2 linked regions of the Astyanax mexicanus genome follow. The protein of the gene in region 1 interacts with the protein of each later gene in a pairwise test. Links are inferred from orthologs where the notes say so. Each region holds a gene or a part of one and is shown in the gene's direction. Other genes may lie near its edges.

Region 1 (12,788 bases):
TTAAATTGTTCCATACACTTGTATTTATTAAGGGCCATTTAGACTTTATAATAAATTAATTTAATCAATTAATTAAGCTAGACTCGAACTCTTAATATTTGATGCCAATATGTGACATCTATGGCGTTGTATTGAGTTTGAGTAGTCTATTTACCTATTATCACTTTGATTGGTCCCCAGCATAAAAATGATTTTAGCACTTTATTTGGATGTTCCATTATTAGTTTATTAGTGCATCTCAAAAAAATTGAATATTATTGAAAAGTGACTTTATTTCAGTAATTCGGTTTAAAATGTTAAACTCTGATATTATATAGATGTATTACACACAGAGTGATCTATTTTAAGTATTTATTAATTTTATTGTTGATGACTTAAAGCCAATTAAAACCCAAAAATTAGTCTCTCAGAAAATAAGAATATTATATAAGCCAAATTGGTATTTTTAGCAGTGTGGGCAGTATGCCAAGTACTGCTGGAAAATGAAATCTGCATCTCCATCAAAAATTGTCAGCAGAGATGCACTGACTTTGGACTTAATATAACATAGTGATGCAACATCAGCAGATGACATGACTCTCCAAACCATCACTGATCATCAGTAAATTTTGCATTTCATTTGGAAATCAAGGGAGCAGAGTCTGGAGAAAGAGTGGAGAGGGACTCAGTCCAAGCTGCTTGAGGTCTAGTGTGAAGTTTCCACAATCAGTGATGGTTTGGAGAGACATGTCATCTGCTGCTGTTGGTCCACTGTGTTTTATTATCAAGTCTAAAGTCAGTGCAGTGTTTTCCCGCAAAATCTTACAGCACTTCATGCTTCCCTCTGCTGACAACTTTTATTAAGATAAAATGTAGATTTCATTTTCCAGCAGGATATGCCACACTGCCCACACTAGTTGATGTACAAATAGATGCCTTGTAGATAGATGCTCACTTAACATTTAACTACATATCTATCAACTGTGTATCTATTAAATCCAACTGAAGTCTAGGCTGAATGTAAAGGATTCTCTGTTGACTTTAACCCTACATCTAAACCTTACTCTGACTCCTTGACTTTGAATGAACCCCTAACTTTTAACAGACATTACTGTTTGGTTACTTTTGGTTACTTTTAACAGACATTCTGTTCAGTGTTAGTTGAACGTCTTCATGACATATACTGTATCGTTATACCGCTGCATCCATTTTTTATTCGTATTTGTTTTTTTGTTTTTTAAAGATGGTGTTGTTTTTGTGTCCAGAATGTTTTCCTTCTAACAGTAAAACTTTCAAAAGTCGTGGGACAGGACTTCGATATGTACCATTGAAGCCAAAGAACTAAGTCCCTTACCTGTCCACATGGAAATTCTAAACAGTTGCCACTCTCAGTCTTGATTAGTACCATCCACTGCACTGTCCAATGTGGGTGGTAATGCCTTATAAAAAAATATTCCTGGTACACACGTGACTTTTGAGAATTGAGGAATGTTCTTTGCCAAAAATCTGAATAATTCAGACAGAAATATTTAAGAAAAGTTAGTAAGATAAGTCTATGCTGTCTGTAGCTAACTGAAAGTGTTTGTTGTTGTAAGTATGGGGAGTCAGGATGCTAAAACTCGTGTCAGAGAGACTGGAGACTGAAACTAGATAAGTTCTGCTTGGCCATTTGGATGCTGGCGCCAGTGGGTGTGCAGGAGCTGCTCTGTTCTAGAAATCCTCTCTGAGCTTGGCAGTGATCCACAATGCATGTGGTAGCATTTTCCTCACCTCTTCTCTTAAAGCTCAAACTAAAGATTATCAGCATTTTTAACCATGTTCTGTAATTATAGGTGTCAGATATAGTTGTGCTGTGTTTGTTTGGGTTTTCAGACCATGTGTTATAGGTTATCAGCCAGGAGCAAGAAGTCAAATGTTGGAAAGTGACAGTATTTAAATAGAAATCCATAAAAATTTAAATGACCTATTGACTCTACTGTTGGCTGTTACTGTATTGTTTATGTGAGTGCGCAAAACATGGAAAAGCAATTTGTAAATATAAACCTTTTGCTCTTTAGTAATTATAATTCATATGTGTAAACTAAGCTACAAAATCAGCCCACGTTATTTATTTTCTGAATCAGTTTCTCTGATTTCGCTATTTATAGATTTATGATTGAGTAAAAAGAACATTGTTGTTTTATTCTATAAACTACGGACAGCATTTCTCCCAAATTCAAAATAAGAATATTGTCATTAAGAGCATTTATTTGCAGAAAATGAGAAATGGCTGAAATAACAAAAAAAGAATGCAGAGATTTCAGACCTCAAATAATGCAAAGAAAACAAGTTCGTATTCATAAAGTTTTAAGAGTTCAGAAATCAATATTTGGTGGAACGAACCTGGTTTTATTTACAAATTTCATGCATCTTGGCATGTTCTCCTCCACCAGTCTTACACACTGCTTTTGCATAACTTTAAGCCACTCCTGGTGCAAAAATTCAAGCAGTTCAGCTTGGTTTGATGGCTTGTAATCATCCATTTTCCTCTTGATTATATTCCAGAGGTTTATAATTTGGTAAAATCCAAAAAAACTCTAAAACAGTTTAATGTTTTATGGAAAAGCCTGTAACTTTTACCGAGATCTCAGGCCTTAATTAGCTTGTTAAAACTGTGGCTTGTGCTTCTCTCAATTTTCAGTTGTGTGACTCTAAAATACCATAAAGAAGATTTAGCAGGCTCTGGAATTCTACTCTGGAATGCTGGTGCACTGTTCTACTGTGCAGCAATATCTGAACAAATCTGAGGGTCAGTATCAATAGAATTGCCTTTTGTATTTGCAGTATAGTTGTTTTAAGGAGAAATCCAGTGTGAAATGGACTTGGGGTGTAGTGAAACATGATAATGAGTTCAAACTTGTGTTGAATGCCACACCTCCATTCACCCCCAGCATTCCAAAATACAGAGATTTTAGCTGATGCTCCCAACAGGCTTACAATGCTAGTGATTGGGGCATAGCATTGCCCATGCTAAAAAAAATCACCATTTTTACACAATTAAAAGCTCAAAGTAGCTCCACACTTATTGGAAGAATTCCAAGGGAACTGATACTTTAAGTGGTGAACAGAGGTGGGCTATTCATACTCATTACTACTACCTACACACAAAGTCCATTTCACACCAGATTTTTCTTAAAATTGTATACATTTTACATTTAAAGACTGAAACATTTATTGTTACACAGTGTTTTGTGTAACAATCAATGTTTCAATGTTTAAACTTTGAACTGTACCTTTTATTCAGTTACAGTGTCTATTGGGGTGGTATTTTTGTCTTGTTTGCCATGCTGCCTCATTAATTTGAATCATTATTTTAAGAGTTTAAGAAACCTAATTACATATATTTGTTTAATGCTATTTAATTTTTTTTTATTATGATTATTTATAACTACTTTCACGAAAATATCAACCTATTTAAACATGAGCAAGATTTCCCTCTCATCCCCATCATCCTGGGATAATTGGCCCTGGGATAATAAGAAAGTAACCATTAACGCATGTGACATCACAACCTTAACGCTGTATAATTTTATTTAAGAGACGGAAGACACTTGTTGCATCTTAACCAATTATTTTTTCTTAATAGTTTTTGTATTCTCTCCCTACTAAGCTGAGGTAAGGTTTACACTGTATACCCTGCCATGGTAAAATATATAGGTAATAAAACATATTAAAAAAAAAAAACTGATAAAATTGTCCATCCTGTCATAGTCCACTGACATTGTTGTGCAGCATCCCATGACAGGGTGGACATATGCATGACAGGAAATGAAAAGGTGGAAACATAATGTTATTTAAGCTGGGAAAAATGATTTCTCTGTTGTCTAAAATCGAGTGCATTCCTTAAATTATAATAATTTGTAATAAATTACAATGAATTAATTGAATAATTTAAAATATAATTAATTTCATGGAACAGTATTAGAACAAAACTTTTTCTGCACATTCATCACCAAAATACAGCATCTAAACAAGCTGAATACATAAGATAATAAGAAATAAGTTTAATAATAAGATTAAAATGAAATATTTTGAAGGCAATGACCAGAAGTGTGTTTGGAGAAAAAAGGCTGCAGAATTTATTTAAAAAAAAACACTATCAATTAAATACCAGCAAATACTGGAAGGAGACATCACACCATCTGCATTAACCAGCAGGATACTGATCATAAACACAACTCAAAACCCACAATGGACTACCGCTAAAAGTGTGAGCTGAACGTTTTGCCATGGCCCTCACAGTCTCCCAACCCAAACGCCATTGAATATCTGTGGATAGACTACAAAAGAAGCAGTACTGCGAGACAACCCAAGAGTCTAGAAGTCTTTCACAAGGACGAATGGCCAGAACTTCACTTAACAATTGACAATATAATTATATGGAATTTGAGAGAAATGTTGTTCGAAGTTTATAGAATAAAACAACAATGTTCATTTTACTCAAACATATACCTATAAATAGCTAAACTGATTCAGAAACTGTAGTGGTCTCTTATTTTTTTCCAGAGCTATATATGCATACTGGCCTGGAACCTACACTCTGACCCTACACTCTACACTCCCTTGAAGCTACCTTCTCCTAGGTATGCATTTGTATTCTATGTATTGGTTATTTGCCAAGCTTCAGTGTTATAGTTTTTAAGAACGAGTTACTTGTATTATTCTGTGTTGCTGAGGGAGAATGTGTGTAGACATGGTGCTGGTGTTTGCTTGTGTGCTGCCACAGGATTACAGGATACTGTCAGTGTTACCTATACTTAGTAAAGTACATTAAGGAAATGTTAAGCTCTCTTGTTAATAACTTACTGCATAATTTATTTTAATTTCATTAAAAGTTGTCAAAATGAAATTTGTTAAATGCACAGTATTTGAAATAGCAAGTTAAGTAAATTAAAATGTGCTAGTTTAACCATTTTAAAGATCTATTCGTTTTTTGCTTATCTTTTTAACGTTTACTGTTCATTTTTAAAATCACATCATTGATTTGTAGGAGTGTTTTTTTTTTTTTTTTTACCATGATAAGAACACTGATAGCTTTTGGGTATACATTGTAGAGTAACCAATCTGATGATTCAAGGATCAGTCAGCTCTGAATCACAACGGGGAGAAAAAAATGTTGGGTAGGCAGCAGTTGGACTGTAGGGACTCGAGCTAGTCATACAGAGCCATCCTCCATCTGTCAACACGCGGGGAATAGTGATTGTAGCATCAGCAGAGCAGGGCTCAGCATCAAGAAAAGCAGGCAGAGGGATGGAGGAAGGGAGGAAGGGAAAAAGTTTGTGCGTGTGTGTGTGTGTGTGTGTGTGTGTTGTGTGTGGGGGGGATGGGATGGGAGGTGGTGGTGGTGGTGTAAATTCTCATTAGGCTCTCCAGAATGAACGTCCCCTATCAGAATCAAAGCTCTAAATGCCGGTGCACAGCATCTGCTACGTAAATTCGAGGCTTCCAAAAGTGTAGCATGACAACACAAGACGTTTCTGGGTCCACCGTTTAAACGGATCTGTGTGTGTAAATACTGCGGTGGCTAGGCCACTGCCTGCTCTCACAAGAGCACTGTAAAGGAAGCCCATAAGTAACACAGGAGAATCAGGGGTCTTAAATATTATATGTCAATTAAGAAAAAATGGCTTGTGATGTCTGTGAGGTTTATGTTTTTTTTGTGTGTATCTTTGCTTCATTCAATCACGGCTTCTGCAACAGGAAAGAGTTTTGGTATTACAGAAAATCCAAATTTATAAGTTTATAAGTCATATTTAACATTTGCCGCTTGTTGGTCTATATTCTATGCAGTCTAGTTGGAACTGAAGTATTGGGACATATTCTCTTTCTTTGTTTCTTCCAAAGTCACGGCTATTAAAAATAATCTATCCTGACTTTTTAGGAGTAAAGATATGGAAGACTTTCTGTTACCTTCTGGAACATTGCTGTAAAAATTTGACTGCACTCAGTGCAACTTTCTAAAACATGTCACAAGTACTGGATGGAGCACCAATATTCCAAAGAACACAGTTCTACTGTTCTACTGCTCAACAAATCAGTGCTGGAGTCTTTATACCCCTCTAGCCTAGGCTTGGCATTTGGCACAGGGTCATTGTGTTCATGCTTGTATGTGTATCAGCATGTGTATCATGCCAAAACCTTATATCTCCAATTTGCTGTTTATCATTTTCTGACATTGTATGAATCTTGCAGATTTAAATACTACATTGTGTCTGTTTATCAGAAATACTCTGAAATGCCCTGAAATTAAAACCTTTTGCAGTAACTTTCAATTAAAGAATGCCATATTTGTATACTTCCCTATCCAACAACAGGTTAATGTGTGTCTGGCTCTCTGTCTACAAATTTGGACATGCAGTAACATACATATGTGTGTATATATATAAAGATTTCTTAAGAGTATCCACCTAAAAATGATAACTCAGCTGTAGACTTCCAAATAAATTAAAGGCATTTTGTTAATGTAGCTACTATTAGCTATTAATGTATGTACTTAGCGCTTAAGGTTTTTACTTAGTTAAAATTACCCTTTAATTAAAAGATGCAAAAATCACAATCTCGCTCTCATATATATATATATATATATATATATATATATATATATATATATATATATATATATATATATATATATATATATATATAATTTTACCAAATTGAAAACCTCTGGAATATAATCAAGAGGAAGATGGATGATTACAAGCCATCAAACCAAGCTGAACTGCTTGAATTTTTGCACCAGGAGTGGCATAAAATTATCCAAAAGCAGTGTGTAAGACTGGTGGAGGAGAATGTGCCAAGATGCATGAAAACTGTGCTTAAAAACCAGGGTTATTCCACCAAATATTGATTTCTGAACTTTTAAAACTTATGATATGAATATGAACTTCTTTTCTTTGCATTATTTGAGGTCTGAAAGCTCTGCATCTTTTTTTTGGTTATTTTAGCCATTTCTCATTTGCTGCAAATAAATGCTCTTAATGAAAATATTTTTTGGGAGAAATGTTGTCCGTAGTTTATAGGATAAAAACACAATGTTTATTTTACTCGAACACATACCTATAAATTGTGAAATCAGAGAAACTGGTTTAGATTTTTTTCCAGAACTGTATACAACTTATTTCTTTATTTAATTTTTAATTCTGATGTATCTTGTAATCGTTGTGTGGGCCGGTTAAATACATTACTTTTCAAAAGACTTCGGTTGGGCATTTAAGTTCAAGATCCGTTTTTCTTGTGTTTCCTATAAACGTGGGTAAATAAAAAAATGACTGTGACTCTGAAAGAACGGCATTCATAAGCATCCTGTTCGGCTATTTAGCTTGTTCTACTCAACCCTCTGAAACGCCATGCTTTCCAACCTAAGGTAACGTCTATTATAACAGTGAATGCGTTTTTTTCTACACACATCTGTTCGATGTATTTTACAATTCAACGTCGTATTAACCATGGTGCATTTACAGTCTAATCGTACAGTGATGGTCAAAGCAAGCCTGTACTTTACGCGGGTAACTTTTTTTTTTTAATTGATCAGCAAACGTTTATTTAGACGTTAATTGGTAAGAATCGACTTGTGTCAATACATGATGGCAAGTAAAATGATGGGGCCTATTCCTCTTACTTTCTCAATCTCTCTCTCTGTCTCTCTATCTCACACACACACACACGCAACACACTAAAGCCCAGACTTAGATTTAAAATATTTTCCAGTTTTGTCAAGCCCCGGACGAGGCCTTGCGCTCCAGATCCTCCAGATAAATAATGAAACGCATCACACGCATGTAAATTCGCCTTTCCTAGCGCGGCTCTGTAGTAATTGACACCCACATGGAGGAGAAGAAACAAGGAACAGCCCCCATCTGCTGGTAGGATCCCTCTCGCATCCCTTTCCCTTCCATAGGCTGCAGTGTGGCCATCCTCCTCTCCAGCGCGGCTCAGCGCAGGACGGCACCTCAGCGCACGGTAAAGATCTCCAGCTCTTGCTCTGTTTTAGCTTTTCTCGCCTACAGCTAAATATATATTTATATATTATAGAGATGGTAGTGCCTGACATGCTGGCCATTTCCGAAGAGCCTATAGTATTTATATGAGAGGCTAATAAAAAAAGAGAATTATTATCACTGTAGCCTCGCTGGCATTTTATTTGACATATTTCCATTTATTGTAGACAGGTAATATCAGCGCAGTTCAGATTCAGTTTTAGATTCAGATTCAGGTCAGTTTGTTGGCTGCTGTTGTTGTTGTGTGAGATCGTTGTGAAATTGTCATTAAAACGGTTTTGAAGGAAAAGAGGTTTAAGATTTGATTACAGATTTAGGCCTGATTTGCTGAACGCAGATCTGATAAACAATCAATCAATAATTCGCAATCAATCATTTTAAATAATTGCAATCAGCATTTTTATGCAGCATTATCGTTTTAATTTTTAAACGTCAATTTAATTAAAACATTCTGAAATTCATAATGAAGATAAATTGTATATTTATTATACAGTCACGAAACTGCGTTTTGTGTTTTAATATTTATATTGTGAGAAAAACGGAATTATTCTGTTTCTTTTTCTATTTGTTTTATTTTATTATATGTGATGCAGAAGAAGTAGATACATTTTTATTTTCGTTCTTGTAATTAAATGCAGAAATATAGATCTTAAATATAAAACATACTAAACTAACAAGTAAAGGATTTACTATTTGGAACTATCTGTCGCGTACAAATACCAAAAAAATATAAATTTGCTCTGACAGATGAGAGGATGTTAGTGAGATTATTATCAGATCCATCAGAAAATATATATTTTATAACGGTGCACGTGAGCATTTTTGTTAATCCTCAGGATTTCAGTTAATCTCTCTGATCGAGTTAAATTTGGCGATGGTTGTTTGAATGTGAATCTAATTTTCGGTGTCTTTTTCCGTCACGCCTCACACGATCTGATCAAACTGACAGAGCGAAAAGGGACAAAAGGAGCGGGACATTTACCTCCCATAACACTACTTATGCCTCTAATGGGATATTGTAGTAGTTATTTAATTACAAAATATATATAATAGTAATTTTGTAGTATTGTAAAATAATAACTGCAGGACGGAATGAAAAGACAAGCAGATTTGAATAAATAAGATGAATCATGAATAAGAAGAATACAAATGATTAAAGCTCACTTGCAGGCCAATTACACACACACATTGTATATATTGTACACATGTACACACACACACACATATATATATATATATATATATATATATATATATATATATATATATATATATATATATATATATATATATATATATATATATATGAACAAAACCGCTACTTCCAATTCTAATTTTTTTTAATACAATTTATTACAATTACCTCTCCGAAACAGTGGAATACAAAATAAAAAAATGATCATCTCTGTAATCGACTACTCTACTTCTTTATCATATATTTAAAAAAATAATAATTATAAGATCATCTATAGCTACATCTCTCTCTCTCTCTCTCTCTCTCTCTCTCTCTCTCTCTCTCTCACACACATACCCAAATGATCATATCTAATGAGATCCCACTATACACCAATTGTAAGCGAACCACTTTTACTCCATTATCACCGAAATAAAATCATAAGCTGTTTTTTTATATTATTTCGCACAATTCCTAAACTAAGCCAACACACATCTATCGATCTTCCAGTCCAAGCTATCCCAAAAAGACCAGCAATTGCTTCACAACATCTACCTCAATAATCTTAAATCGTTCACTACCATCACCACCAACACCAAGTTCAAAAAATGTAACAACAATAACCCTAATAATAATAACCCTGTAAAAATGCTGTTCATTCTGAGTGCTTACCACCCCAGTCCACTCACTGACTGAACCCTAAAACCAGAACTTACTGGTGCCTCTCTCTCTACTTCACCAAACGCTCCCTCCCGCCACGAGAAACAAAGCCACAAACCATGAGGACGAAGGAAAGTGCTTAGCTAAAGAGGCTGGAGGTAAGAGTAAACAGCCAGAAACACTGAGATAGCTTTTCCTCAGCGCCCATCAGCAGGGTTTTGAGGAGAGAGTGACAGCTCTTTGTTGGTAAGGAGAAGTCGTTGGAGATAGAGTGAGAGAGAGAGAGATACAGAAAGAGAGAGAGAGAGTGAGGGAGAGGGAGAACTCCTCCTCCCAACTAGCCCAGGCTGGGCAGGCGTGTGCTCTCTCTTCACAAATAGGACACGGGCTCTGCAACTCAGCACAGTCCCAAACTCCACTTTCCAGCACTCGGATCCCTGACAGCAAACCGGGACTATCTCAATCTCACCTTAAAAACACACAACTAGAACTCTTCTATCAGCGCGGCCGAACCACACACACCTTGCCTGCTGTCTGCATTTGCCTTACCACCAGGATTATACTCTGTTTTCTTTCTTTCCTTCTTTTTTCTGTTTTTTAAAGGTCTCAACGGAGTGCAGGGTGCTCCACCGAATGTTCCTGTTTTGCATCGTCTCTTTTGGAGAGGCGGCGCGTTAAAGGTGCCTGCAGTCTTTTTTCCCCCAATTTTTTATACCTTTAGAAATTTTTAGGAGCCTTTTCACGCAATTTTGCATTTTTCGAGCGAGCTGCAGACCCTTTTCGGATGGTCTGAGGCTGCGGAGCGCCGTATGGAAGTGGTGGGGTGCAAGGCAAGAGAAAGCAGTTGCACATTGCGTCCAGCAGCCATGCTTTTCCACGGCATCTCCGGGGAGCACATCCAAGGGATCATGGAGGAGATGGAGAGGAGATCGAAGTCGGAGTCGCGGCTGGCCAAAACGGTCCAGATGAACGGCAGGGAGACGGTGAGATCTTTAACTTCAATATTTGCACAAAAAAAAGGAGTAAAAAAAATGTGGTGTTGAGTCTGAGGCTACTGGTGAGGGAAATCGCTGTTTGCTCTGGTGGGCTAGGCTAGGTCACTGGTTAAAATGAAAAGAATAAAGAATTTGGCCATTTGCAAAAAAACGTAGCTAATAAAATAAAAAAAAAATCAAAGTCCCATCATCAAAAATCGATCGAATGCAGTGAAAAAACAAACAAACTACTAAACAAGCTATTTGTCAAAATATTAGTTGGGCTTTACTGGAGTGTTGGTAATAGTTTAATTACTTGTTTAAATAATTCAGCTACACTTATATAACAACAACAACAACAACAATATTATTATTATTTTTTTAAATGATTATTAATAACAACAACTATTAACGTTAACAATAAAACCAATAATGGGCCTTTTTAAATTGCTACCGGAAATAAGCAAGTGAGGCCTAATCGGACAATCGCTAAAATAACACCCCTAAATCTATTGTTTAACTTTGCCCTTTTCTGGCAAAGTTGTTATTTTGCAAGGTTAGAAAGCTAAACTAATCTGTATTAACAATCACAGCTCATGTGTGTTTTTATTATTATATATTTTTGTGCTTTATTTATTTTACTTCAGGTAAGAGTTGCTTTAAACAGGCTAGCGTGTTTTTCCTTGCGTTAATTTCAATGCTTGACACTCGAGTGAATGTAAGAGGTGTTTGGGTGCTCTCTCCGCAGAGCATGCCCTCCGTGAGCCCGGAGAAACCCGCCCTGTGCGCCGGCTGTGGGTCCAAGATCTCAGACAGGTACTACTTACTTGCGGTGGACAAGCAATGGCACCTCCGCTGCCTCAAGTGCTGTGAATGTAAACTGGCCTTGGAGTCGGAGCTGACCTGCTTCGCCAAGGATGGCAGCATTTACTGCAAAGAGGATTACTACAGGTAAGGAAGCCCGGAAAAAAAGAGGCATTTCTATCTTTCTATCCATCAAAAACACATACAGTACAAAACTTAAAAATTACAGCACTGTCACCAAGAGTGAAACAACTACAAAACTCACTAAGACAACATTTAAAGGGTTTAGCATGACATGCACTGTATACAGGAATATTCCACAAATTAGCGTGGCCACATTTGGACCACCCACATTCATCTAATGAATGAATTTTCATTCCTTGATAACTGCAATTTTGCCTAATTAAAATACCGAACTATGGGCTCACACGGCCTACAGGCCACAGAGCTTCTTGAGAAGATAAATCACTGTCCTTCAAACCTGCAAATGCTTATTAAAACAGATAAACTGGTAAACTGGTGGTAGTGGGGGAAATCGGCCTGTTTGTAAATGGCGTTCTTGACTGTTCCAGAAGGTTCTCCGTGCAGAGGTGTGCCCGCTGCCACCTGGGCATCTCGGCTTCGGAAATGGTGATGCGCGCCCGGGACTCCGTGTACCATCTGAGCTGCTTTACATGCACGTCGTGCAACAAGACGCTGACGACGGGCGACCACTTCGGCATGCGGGAGAACCTGGTTTACTGCCGGGCACACTTCGAGAGCCTGGTGCAGGGGGAGTACCACGCGCCGCTCAACTACGCCGAGCTCGCGGCCAAGGGCGGTGGGCTCGCTCTGCCCTACTTCAACGGCGCGAGCGCAGTGCAGAAGGGCAGGCCACGGAAACGCAAGAGTCCCGCCATGGGCATCGATATCAACACCTACAACTCAGGTAAGGCGCTTTGTTTAGCTACTGCAAGGAGAGGAGGTAAAGGTGGAAAATCGGCAAGCTGAATTTTACTAAACAAGATATACAAAACTAATATTTAACACAAACTGAAGACTTACAATAGTAAAAATGAAGTTAACTCAAAAATTACAATCAACATAATTTAAAACATTATTTTAAAGTTAAATATTCAATGCAGCATTAAATGATATTAGTAAAACAAAAATCAAACA
Region 2 (12,654 bases), on another chromosome or scaffold:
CTGTAAAAATATATATTTCATTTTTTAATACGTTTCCATGCATTTTTCCATCTCTTTCATCCCAATCGTAATTTCAGGAAAATGAAAAAAATACATATATTTTCTTTAATTTCTGATTTGTGTAACAAAACACAAAAATGGACAACTCTGAAAATCAAGAGAAGATTCAACCTTTAATTTCGTTTAATTTTTTTGTAAGCGAAAGGTTAAAATGAAAAACTAGATAATGGAAAATTTGGATTAAACAAAAACACATTTCTTATTTACAATACTGAATGGAAAAAAATATATTAAATTAAGATTTATATCCACTTTTCTATTTTTAAATTTAGATTGATATGGTCAGAAAATTAAACTGTTAAATGTTACACTGACCAAACAGGCATTGTTTCTGATTTATTCATGATCATTATTTGTTGTATTTCAAGTAAATACTTTAAAAATGAAATAAAACTAAAATTATGTTATTGTTGGTCTGTTTATTCTTGAATATTTCAACATACACAATAAGTAAAATGGAATTAAAAAGAAAAGTAAGTAGAAATCAACATATTTATTTACTTGGTAGGTAGAATTGTTGGGTAAATAAATTTGTATAAGAAAATTAAAAAGTTAAATAAATTTTCCTTTTTAAGGTATATTTACTTGATATTTTAAGTTATGCTAACTTATGTTTTCATTGCCCATTACTTAACTTTTTTAAGGCATAAGGGTTTATCTGGGTTACAGAATATGATATAGTACTAACTAAAACAAATAGTGAATTCCGAAAAATCCATAAAGCATAATGCACAGTTAACGCTGAATAATAAATTATTGAAAGTGCATAATAACTGATTCAAAATAGTTAAAATTTAAATCAGTAAATGAATAATTAAATGTAGCTGCTGAATAATTCATAATGGATTCTGAAAAAATAATAATAAATTATAGAACACGATAAATAAAATTGAGTTAAATCAACATTTTTAGTGTCCACTTAACAAATTAAGCAAATTTGCTGTAGACCCTGAATAAATAATAGTAGATAATAAATACTTCATAATAGTTACTATTCACAGGATAATTCACAGTAGTTGACGAACAAATAATAGTAGATATTCTACTATTAAATCATTTACATGGAAAGCTAAAAAGAGAATGAAAAATGATTCATAGTGCCTACAGATTATTTTATAATACAAGCTGCATAATTTGTAGTAGGTACTGATTAATTTATAGTCAATACTGAATAACCCATAGTGGACATAGTTGAATAATTTTTAGTGAATACTGTGTATACTGTGAATACTATCCTAAATTTCCTTCGGGATAAATAAAGTATCTATCTATCTATCTATCTATCTATCTATCTATCTATCTATCTATCTATCTATCTATCTATCTATCTATCTATCTATCTATCTATCTATCTATCTATCTATCTATCTGTATAACTCGCAGTAAGTAGAAACTATTAGGGATATCTTTTAAAATAATAATTCATAGTAGATAATAAATAATGCATTGTAAATACTTAATAACTACTACTAACAGTAGATACTACTTTTATAATAGTAAATACTTGGTATTTTTTACTGTTTAATGAATGTTTCGCAGTAGTTCCTGTGTTTTAAGGTTACTAATTGACTGTATAACAGGCCTGTAGTGCAGGGGGTAACTCTACAGTGAATTCTACACTAATCCTAAATTTCCTTCGGGATAAATAAAGTATCTATCTATCTATCTATCTATCTATCTATCTATCTATCTATCTATCTATCTATCTATCTATCTATCTATCTATCTAATCAGAACTTCAGATTAGAGTTAATCACAGATACAATACTCACCCTGTGCATTTCTGAGACTCAGATCATCCAGCTGATTAAAGAGTTGAGAGAGGAATCAGAGCAGAACGCTGGCAGATCCTCACAAACCTCCTGCAGATCACTGGAGTGTTTCCCACCATCTCCCAGCAACAGACCCAGCTGAACTGGGGGAACTGGGCCGGTCTGACCCCTCGCCTATTGTTTTCAGCCTCTATTGTATGCTTTTCTTCCTGTTAGCACACATTAACACCCATTACACACGACTTTACACTGCTATACAACACCACCACGGGCAAAATCAGCTTTACACTTACACTAAAACACTGAAAAACTGAGATTTATATAGAGTTAATATTAAAAACTAATCATGCTGTAGAGTAACCTCATAAGGAAAAATAATATATATGAAATGCATTTACAATTGCACTGAAAATGTATGAAAATTAAAATTAAACAATCTATTGGAAATGTATCTGAAATGTACTTCACATATTAAGAAATAGTGGTCATAAGATTTAGAATACCACAATTGTTTACCCCAGTAGTGCAGTAGCTGCAGTGATGTTTTTATTTTCTCTTTATCTTATCAGTGACTCAGACTTACTTCAATTCTTTTTCTCTTCTCTGCTGAAACTGAGACTCAGTTCTTAATCATGTTAATCTGAGCTAAAGGCTAAAGCTGCTGTTTCCATGTGGGTCAGCCAGACGTCTTCCTGTAGCAGTTTTTTTTCTCCAGTTTCTAAGAGTCTTTATTTGAAGGTGGAGGAAACAGTACTCACCGCTCTCTGACTTCTGTATCTGTAATTTCTCTAAAGAAAAGAAAGAACTTCTACTTTTAATAGTTACAGAGTTCTCTACAGTTTTTTACTAGTTATTATGATGATGAAAGTGTGTAAATGCTGCTGCAGTAGAGAGTAACAGCAGTAACTCCATCTGTTCCAGCACTACAGCTTTACTGCAGAGAGTTTGGAAATTCAATTTTTTTAAAACCCATTTCCAAAGCTCAGTTTATTTTTCATTACAACAGACCAGTTGTAAGCTGTTACAACCAGCTACTTGCTTTTTTAAAAAGCACCCTCATCCCCTTTTTTATACTTCTTATACTACTATTTTGTCAGTGTTTCGTTGTTTTTGTTTTTTCTTAAAAGTTTACTAGTTATTGGTTTTAGTTTTAGTTTAGTATTAGTTTACTGCTAACTTGTGTATGATTTAAGTTTGCTGGATTTTGTGCCCTTTCAGGCTACATTTACTGGAAATGAACAGCTTAAATAAGCAAAATAAACTGAAAAAAAAAAAAAAACTAAAGTGTGTTCTAAAACTTACTTCTACATTTTTGTCTTTTTCAACAAGTGGGTTAAAATAAACTGTATTACTTGCATGCTTTGAAACACATTTTAACTGTTGCTGGTCAGAGAAACGTAAAGTAGATAGCACCTAAGTTTTAAATAATTTAAAATGGATTTGTTGTCAGATCATATTGGTTTGTGTATAAAACAAACAAAGATAATAGCCTGCTAAGAAATCCCCAGACTTTGATTCTAGCAAACAAAAAACATTGTAAGAAAATTACAACGTTTGGCTATTTGTCGTTACCTTCCTAGAGAAGCATTTTCATTTCTGCTTTTAAAGTCTACTAAAGTTATTATTTAAAATTGTTTTGTTTTCAAATCATATTAGGTCAGTTAACCTAACTAATGCATTGTGCCACATTTAATAAGAATATATTACACATGTATATGTATATAATATGTTTGTCCTTTTGTTTTATTACTCTAAATGAACAAAAAATCGAGTTAACTAATTTAGATTCTCCTCCTTACATTTTATCAAATCACTCCACAATCTCCAAACTGGTGTAGGATAAAAATGTAATAAAAATACAAATATCTTTTTTTCTGTGAGAAATTGGAGAGTTTTAAGATTAGCACTATCAGATTAGCATTGCGCTAACCATAAATTTTAATAAATGTTAACCAATACAAATAAAATCTAATAATAATATAAATCTACCTGATCCCGATCACCACAGAGATCTGTGAGGTGTATCTGATATTAGTACTGATCTTACTTTAACTTACTTTAGCTTAGCTTCACTTAACTTATTTCAACTTACCCTAGATTAGCTTTTCTTAGCTTACTTTTATTTATATAAGCTTACCTTACTTTATATTACCCTAGCTTATTTTAACTTAGCTTATATTACCTTAGCATTCCTTTTTTATTTTACCATATCTTAGCTTAGCTTAGTTTAGCTTAGCTTCACTTAACTTATAGCATAGCCTAGCTCACCCTATATTACCTTTCCTTATCTTAGCATTTCTTATCGTGGCTTATTTTACCATATCTTAGCTTAGCATACGCTAACGTACCTTAGTTTAACCAAGCTTAGCTTACTTAAATATTTTTTTATTATTTTACCCTAGCTTACCTTATTTTAATGTAGCTTATTTTATCTTAGTTTTTTGTCTTATCTTACCTGATTTTAACCAAGCTTATTTTACCTTAGCTTCGGTTAGCTTAACTTAATTTATTTTAACACAGCTTAGCTTAACTTAGCTTTCTTTAGCGTATCGTATCTTACCTTAGCTTCAGTTAGCTTAACTTGACGTATCTAAGCTTACACTAGCTTAGCTTACCTTAGTTTAGCTTAGCTTATTTTACCTTAGCTTACCTTATCTTAACTTGACGTATCTTAGCTTACACTAGCTTAGCTTACCTTAGTTTAGCTTAGTTTAATTTACCTTAGCTTAGCTTACCTTAGTTTATTTTACCTTAGCTTAGCTTACTTTAGTTAAGCTTAGTTTATTTTACCTCAGTTTAGCTTAGCTTATTTTACCTTATCTTAGCTTACCTTAGTTAATCTTATCTTATTTTACCTTAGCTTACCTTAGTTTAGCTTATTTTACCTTAGCTTAGCTTACCTTAGTTTAGCTTAGCTTATTTTACCTTAGCTTAGTTTACCTTAGTTTAGCTTAGCTTATTTTACCGTATCTTAGCTTAGATTAGCTTCGGTGAGCTAAACTTAATGTATCTTAACTTAGCCTAGCTTAGCTTACCTTGTCTTAGCTTTGCTTTGATTAGCTTAGCTTATCTTAGCATAACAGTGCAGCTTCTAAGTCGTGGTAACAGCTGCTGCTTTTTATATGTAAACAATAGAATACAGCAACTAAAACAAAAATAAATTAATTAAAAACAAACACAATTAATTATAAAATGAAATAAAATCAGCACCAAGTCCAGTACAGTGTTTCAGTCAGCCAGTATTTCAGTATTCAGTTTTCATTTAGAATCTAGTTTGTCTGATCATATTGAATAAGTATTTCATTTATTCATTATATAATTCACTTAAAACATTTACTTTAAAGTAAATGAAAGCAATAAAAATAAATCAGCACCAACTTATGAAGTCGCTTTGGACAAAAGCGTCTGCCAAATGTAATGTAATGTAATGTAAAAAATCATGAACACTAATATTATAGCCAATTACAGTTTTTCTGGATTGTTTACACACATTTTCTGAGAACATGCCTCATATTCTCAGAACTCTAAACACAAATCCAACAAACAAGCACACAGTAGGCAAAACCCTTCAATTATCCTGCAAAATGAAACTTTACATTCAAAACAGTGTTATCTCTTCAAAAAAGGCTATTTTGTGTTTAGATGATACACACAAACCATCATATGAACAGACACTCAAAAGAAGCAGCTGAACACTGATGTGCCCAGTGTAAAACACAATTCTCCATTCATCATAATGACTTTTGTCATTTTTTGTTCAGTGTTACACTTACTACAGACAGTAAATACATAAGTGCGTTGTAAATATTTAATAACATTGTTTTTATACTCAGAACACACAAATACACAGTAAAAATATATTTTATTTTTCCAATAAAAACAATGCACACAGTGTACAATGCAACCAACACAAAGATGCAGTGATTTACATACAAAACAACAGAAGAATTTATTGTATAAAGTTAGAGTAAAAAAAAAAAAAACTATGCTGCATCCTGTCTTCTGTTTGGGTCTGCTAAAGTTTTGATTGCTGATTGTATAACCTGTGTGAAGGGTGTTTGCCCATGTGACCAGTCAGTGTGCAAAGTAGACTTTTAAACTTTAGAGTTTTGAATAACAGTGTGTTCCTTGTGAAAACAAGAGATTTTATTCATGAAAATTGTGCCAAATGCAGAAAATTGTGTATGCAGCGTTTTGAAAATGTGTTTTAGAACTGCAGTTTGAGTGTTAAGCAGGAATTGTGCTTGTAGTTTAGCAGAACTGGTTCAAGGGGTTGGTACGTAAGTTACATGTTGTGGTCATTGTGTCTCAAGTACCAGAAATTGTGTGTAAACAATCCAGAAAAACTGTAAACAGTCTATTAAAGTGAGTGTTGTGAGTGTTGTGAGTGAACAGCCAGTATTTCCAGTTTCCATATACAGAGACATCTTGGCTGCCTATGATTTTTGTACCATTAAAATGTATTATATTATATTATATTATATTATATTTGTTGTATCATCGCGAATGATTCACTTAACAACAAATGAACAGGCTGAATGAGAGGCTGAAGTTCAGTGTCTGCACTGTTTTGGGGTATTTTTCCCACCTTTTTCCTTTTTAAATACTTGTTGAAGTATGCAATACTTCATATGTATTTTATGACTAAGTATTTAATGATTATTGATTAATAAGGTAATAATGTGTTGTTATAGTGTATTATAATAAAAGTTTTAGGGAGGTATTTTAATATATGTGTGTGTGTGTGTGTGTGTGTGTGTGTGTGTGTGTGTGTGTGTGTAGTTGTGTGTTTATAGTGTGTGTGTATAGTGTGTGTGTGTGTGTGTATAGTGTGTGTGTGTGTGAGAGTGTATAGTGTGTGTGTAGTGTGTGTGTGTGTGTGTGTAGTTTGTGTGTAGTGTATAGTGTGTATAGTGTGTGTGTGTATAGAGTGTGTGTGTATAGTGTTTGTGTGTGTGTGTGTGTGTGTAGTTTGTGTGTAGTGTATAGTGTGTATAGTGTGTGTGTGTATGTGAGTGTATGTGAGTGTATAGTGTGTGTGTGTGTGTGTGTATGTGAGTGTATGTGTGTGTATAGTGTGTGTGTGTGTGTATGTGAGTGTATGTGTGTGTATAGTGTGTGTGTAGTGTGTGTGTGTAGTTTGTGTGTAGTGTATAGTGTGTATAGTGTGTGTGTGTGTGTGTGTGTAGTTTGTGTGTAGTATATAGTGTGTGTGTGTATAGAGTGTGTGTGTGTATAGTGTTTGTGTGTGTGTGTGGCTGAACCGGCGGTACAGTGCCCCCTCTGGCGGCCGCTGGTGGAACTACATAAACAGAGGCTTGGGGCGGTTCGTGTGGGCTCGGTGAAGCTCGGCCGGCGATCCGGACCGGAGCTGCGGACCCGCGCGCTGTTCCGCCCCTTTACCCCCGTGTCCAGAGTCCAGCAGCGCGGCCCGCGGGATGGAGCGGCAGGGGAAGGTGCTGTGTATCGGCCTGGTGTGTCTGGACATCATTAATGTGGTGGATAAATACCCGGAAGAGGACACGGACAGCAGGTCTGCTGCAGGTTTACACTGAAAACCGGTTTATTGCTTTTACTTTTACTGCATTTTTAGATCATTCGGATTATTGTATAATAAACCGAGTGTTTACTCGAGTTATGCTACCCATTGATACGTGCTTCTTCTGCTTTCTAAAGGCACTGCGCATGCGCTGACCTACAGTTATTAACTATTTCTCGTGGGTTTTTTTATAATATATTTTTTTTCTGATTTTTTATGTGCATTAAACAACCTGGACTCTGGACTGTTATTGCACAAAAGAGCAAATGAAAATTAATAATAATAAATATTATAATTATTATTTTAAAACATACAAAAGTAGTTTGTAATGACCTCTCACTGCCATAACTTTACAATAATATAGTGATTCATGCTCTATAACAAAATCTACATTGACTTCCGCTGAGAACATGCTCTGATATGGTGCTTCTTTTGCATTTTTAAAGTCAGACAGTGCAGAATAGAGCTGGTGCAGTAGACTGAGCTGCAGCCTGTGTTTAATTCAGTTTACTGCATTTATACACTTCTAATGTCTATCTGTAAATGCATGCATGCATGTGTGTGTGTGTGTGTGTGTATAATGTGTGTGTGTGTGTTGGTAGGTGTGTATCGCAGCGATGGCAGAGGGGTGGAAATGCATCAAACTCCTGTACCATCCTCTCCCTATTGGGGGCGCCCTGTGCCTTTATGGGTTCTTTAGCTCCAGGACCTGTAGCTGAGTAAGTATTAATTACTATAAATCACCTTAAAGGCATAAAGTTATCCTAAAGCAGTGTGTAAGACTGGTGGAGGAGAACATGATGCCAAGATGCATGAAAAAAACTGTGATTAAAAACCAGGATTATTCCACCAAATATTGATTATTTATGAACTCTTAAAACTTTATGAATATGAACTTGTTTTCTTTGCATTATTTGAGGTCTGAAAGCTCTGCATCTTTTTTGTTATTTCAGTCATTTCTCATTTTCTGTAAATAAATGCTCTAAATGAGAATATTTTTATTTGTAATTTGGGAGAAATGTTGTCTGTAGTTTATAGAATAAAACAACAATGTTCATTTTACTCAAACATAAACCTATAAATAGTAAAATCAGAGAAACTGATTCAGAAACTGAAGTGCTGTATATTAGGGCTGCATTAAATTGGCAAAAAATATATATATATATATTCATGCATACATAATAGATGTGTGTGGATATATTGATATATGCACCGCAAATATATCACCCACACATTTACCCACAGATGTTGCTACAGCTGGGCCTGTAGATCCTGTAGCTCTACACTCGTAGGTTGAAGCTGAAGCTGCAGAGTCTCAGCTGCTCCATAAATGCTGGTATGAAGGAATCTCTTGCTGTGTGTGAGTGAGCATTATCCTGCTGAAAAATGCCACTTAGAAGCCCTACCATGAGAGGCAGCAACACATGTGGGCAGATGTGTGTACGAGAGTGTGTGTGTGAGAGTGTGTGTGTGTACGAGAGTGTGTGTGTGAGAGTGTGTGTGTGTGTACGAGAGTGTGTGTGTGAGAGTGTGTGTGTGTGAGAGTGTGTGTGTGAGAGAGTGTGTGTGTGAGAGTGTGTGTGTGAGAGTGTGTGTGTGAGAGTGTGTGTGTGTGAGAGTGTGTGTGTGAGAGAGTGTGTGTGTGAGAGTGTGTGTGTTTGAATTACTCACTAATTTATTCCTGCAGTTTCGTTCTGAATGATTTTAAACAGTACAAGATTGACGTCTCTCTCCTGCTGGAGCACGAGCACTGCTCCTTCCCCGCGTCTGTAGTAATCAGCAATCAGACCACAGGCAGCCGCACCATCCTGCACATGAACAGGTGTGTGTGTGTGTGTATGTGTGTGTGTGAGTGTGTGTGTGAGTGTATGTGTGTGTGTGTGTGTATGTGTGTGTGTGAGTGTGAGTGTATGTGTGTGTGTGAGTGTGTGTGTGTGTATATGTGTGTGTGTGTTTCTCATCCCCACGGTACAGCGATGCATCAGAAAGTCAGAACTTGTAACTGTTAGCGTGCTGCACTTCTCAGTCTGACCACTAGGTGGTGATGTGGCGCTGTGCTCACTAACTCTCGCGCCAGCGGTGCATGATTTTGATGGTTTTACAGGTTCTGTCAGCAGGCGGCAGTCTCTCTCTCTCTCTCTCTGTCTCTCTCTCTCTCTCTCTCTCTCTCTCCGTCTCTCTCTCTGTCTCTCTCTCTGTCTCTCTCTCCGTCTCTCTCTCTCTGTCTCTCTCTCCGTCTCTCTCTCTCTCTCTCTCTCTGTTTCTCTCGCCGTTTCTCTCTCCGTCTCTCTCTCTCTGTCTCTCTCTCTCTACCTCTCTCTCAGTCTAAGCACTGGGTGCTCTCTCTCTCTCTCTCTCTCTCTCTCTCTCTCTATCTCTCTCTGTCTCTCTCTCTCTCAGTCTAAGCGCTGGGTGCTGTCTATCTGTCTCTCTCTCTCTGTCTCTCTCTCTCAGTCTAAGCACTGGGTGCTGTCTCTCTCTCTCAGCCTAAGCGCTGGGTGCTGTCTCTCTCTCTATCTCTCTATCTCTCTCTGTCTCTCTCTCTCAGTCTAAGCGCTGGGTGCTGTCTCTCTGTCTCTCTCTCTCAGTCTAAGCTCTGGGTGCTGTCTCTCTGTCTCTCTCTCTCTGTCTCTCTCTCTCAGCCTAAGCGCTGGGTGCTCTCTCTCTCTCTATCTCTCTATCTCTCTCTGTCTCTCTCGGTCTCTCTCTCTCAGCCTAAGCGCTGGGTGCTCTCTCTCTCTCTATCTCTCTATCTCTCTCTGTCTCTCTCGGTCTCTCTCTCTCAGTCTAAGCGCTGGGTGCTGTCTCTCTGTCTCTCTCTCTCAGTCTAAGCACTGGGTGCTGTCTCTCTCTCTCAGTCTAAGCACTAGGTGCTGTCTCTCTCTCTCAGTCTAAGCACTGGGTGCTGTCTCTCTCTCTCTCAGCTTCATCGTGGGTGATTTTGGTCGGCGTGGGGTGGACGTGTCGGGCGTGGCGTGGCAGTCGCGGGGTGAGACGCCGTGTGCTTGCTGTGTGGTGTGTCCGAGCACCGGGACGCGTACTGTCGTTCTCTCCGACACGTAAGACAGGCCGCCGGTCACATGACCTCCATCAGAACCAATGAGAGCTAACCAGTCCACTGCAGCGACCTCAAACGCTTCTTCATTACCTTAATGAATGGGAGAAGCTAAACTGCTGTAGGCTGAATGGGCGGAGCTAAACTGCTGTAAGATAAGTGGGAGGAGCTAAACTGCTTTGATCTGGGCCGTGTTATTAAGCGTGTCTCTGCAGTGGTTCTGTAATAATTCGGATTAATTCTGTTCGATAGTTGATCGCATTTACTAATCATGGCTTCCTGACCCACGATTACCCTGCATGCTGAATTAATATGGTAATTAGTTGCATGTTTTTGTAATTTTCACAATTTCAAACACAATTAGAGTTCTATAATTCATCAAATAAGACATGCATGATATTTATTAAATTGTTGCATTAAATTTGTAAGTTTTTAGACTGTTTAAGACTGAGCTGTACTCTGATTGGATATACAGCACCAGTCAAAAGTTTGGACACACCTTATCATTCAATGTTTTTTATTTTTTACCACATATTACATGAATAGTAAAGTGATTTATCAGATTATGAAGGAACACATAATGAATCATGTAGTAACTTAAAAGTGTTTTTAAGTGAAGTATTTAGATACTCTTATCTGAGGAGCTGTTTGTAAACTTGTGGTTTCTGAGGCTGGAAACTCTGATAAACTCATCCTGTACAACAGAGGAAACTCTTGCTCTTCTTTCCTGGGGCGGTCCTGATGAGTGCCAGTTTCATCATTATATTTAGTTGAGTATTTGTTGCTTCTCATAATCTGGATTCGAACATTACTGAAATATTCACTATTCACTGTATACCTGTAACTCTACCTCTTCACTACTTTACTTTAACTGATGCTCTCAAACACTTTATTAAGAGACAAGAAATTCAAGTAATTAACTCTTGATGAGTTCAGCACAGCTGTTAACTGAAAGCCTGAATTCCAGGAGACTCTACCTCATAAAACTGACTGAGAAAATCCAGCAGAGATGTTCAAAACTCATCATCTAAACAAGAGGAGCTACTTTAAAGAATCTAAAATATAAAACTACAGCCCTGTGTAAAATATTTCATGTCTCTACTCTTTAGTGATAAAACTCCTGCATCTGGACTGCAATTGTAAAAACAGGAGGATCAGTGAGTTTTTAGGCTTTTTTCTCGATCACATGACATCGCAGAGTTCAGTAGCTCCTCCATTTCCACTCACTATTGTGTTTTTAACGTGGATCTCCGTGGAAACCGTGGCGTGTCCAAAGTGTAATTGCGGTGCGCGGCAGTGGACAAATATCTATTTTATTAAAGGCGAGGAGACGAAACTCAGAGAGGTGCGTCCGGACAGGACTAAAATTACCGGAGGAGCACGGAGTTCAGAGAAAAACAGTAGATAATTCAGCCTGTAATTTTCTCAGAGGACGTCTGAGAAAAACACCTACATGATCGTTCTGGACAAGAATAAAATCACAGAGGATAAAAAAAACACAAAAGAGAGATACTAATCCACTTTTTTGTTTATTAAATAATTGAATATGTTTTTCTTCATAGTTTGGATGAGTTTAGTAATTTATGAGTAACTTTTTGAAATTTTAGAAGTAAATTAAATCAGTATAAGAAAGTAAATGGGAGTTTTTTTTAGGAAATGTTTGGAGAGGAGAGGATTGTAAAGGTTTGGAGTTAATGGATCTCGGCTCTTGCTGGACGTTTGCTCCGGGTCTGGAGTTCTCCTGTCTGATTATTAATCAGGGTCTGATATCAGCGTTTATTCCGCTCTGATTGGTTGAGGGAGGTGAAGTCCAGCTCTGTGAAGTTAATGCTGAGATTTAACAGCTCGTGGAAGTTTTCCTTTCTCTGTAATAAAGTTATAAAATCATATCATTTATATCTCATAATACACAGTCCAATCACACGCTATCAGACCCAGCACCTGCAGGCGTGACTGAGTGTGTGTGTGTGTGTTTGTGTGAGTGTGAAAGTCTAATAGATCAGTGTGAACAGGTACGGTGTGTTTATCTCTCTTATCTGCTTCTTCGTCCAATCAGAAACCTGCCTGATGTAACAGCTGAGGATTTCTCAAAACTGGACCTGAGTCAGTATAAATGGATCCACTGGGAGGTGAGATCAGACCCTACACACTGTGGCCACTTTATTGGAAACACCCTACCTTTACACACCTTGTGCTTCCAATCCACTCACTGTGGGTGGCCACTTTAT

Evidence for each region.
Region 2: the proteins of lhx9 (region 1) and khk interact in binary tests that used the Homo sapiens proteins (3 or more experiments, as listed by UniProt). The two-hybrid records come from large-scale screens. The link is inferred for Astyanax mexicanus from reciprocal best matches to the Homo sapiens genes LHX9 and KHK.

What each region holds. Positions count from the first base shown.
Region 1 is NC_064423.1:21,338,883-21,351,670, reverse strand, and holds the start of lhx9 (LIM/homeobox protein Lhx9), read left to right. Parts: upstream 1-7,871; 5' UTR 7,872-7,980; intron 7,981-9,507; exon of another isoform or gene 9,508-10,455; 5' UTR 10,456-10,661; coding exon 10,662-10,835; intron 10,836-11,574; coding exon 11,575-11,777; intron 11,778-12,202; coding exon 12,203-12,558; intron 12,559-12,788. UniProt on the Homo sapiens protein: Involved in gonadal development.
Region 2 is NC_064421.1:546,369-559,022, forward strand, and holds the start of khk (ketohexokinase), read left to right. Parts: upstream 1-7,037; 5' UTR 7,038-7,270; coding exon 7,271-7,365; intron 7,366-7,973; coding exon 7,974-8,090; intron 8,091-9,058; coding exon 9,059-9,193; intron 9,194-10,295; coding exon 10,296-10,430; intron 10,431-12,482; coding exon 12,483-12,555; intron 12,556-12,654. Other genes in the region: ankef1b (ankyrin repeat and EF-hand domain-containing protein 1), read right to left, coding at 1,833-1,841. UniProt on the Homo sapiens protein: Catalyzes the phosphorylation of the ketose sugar fructose to fructose-1-phosphate.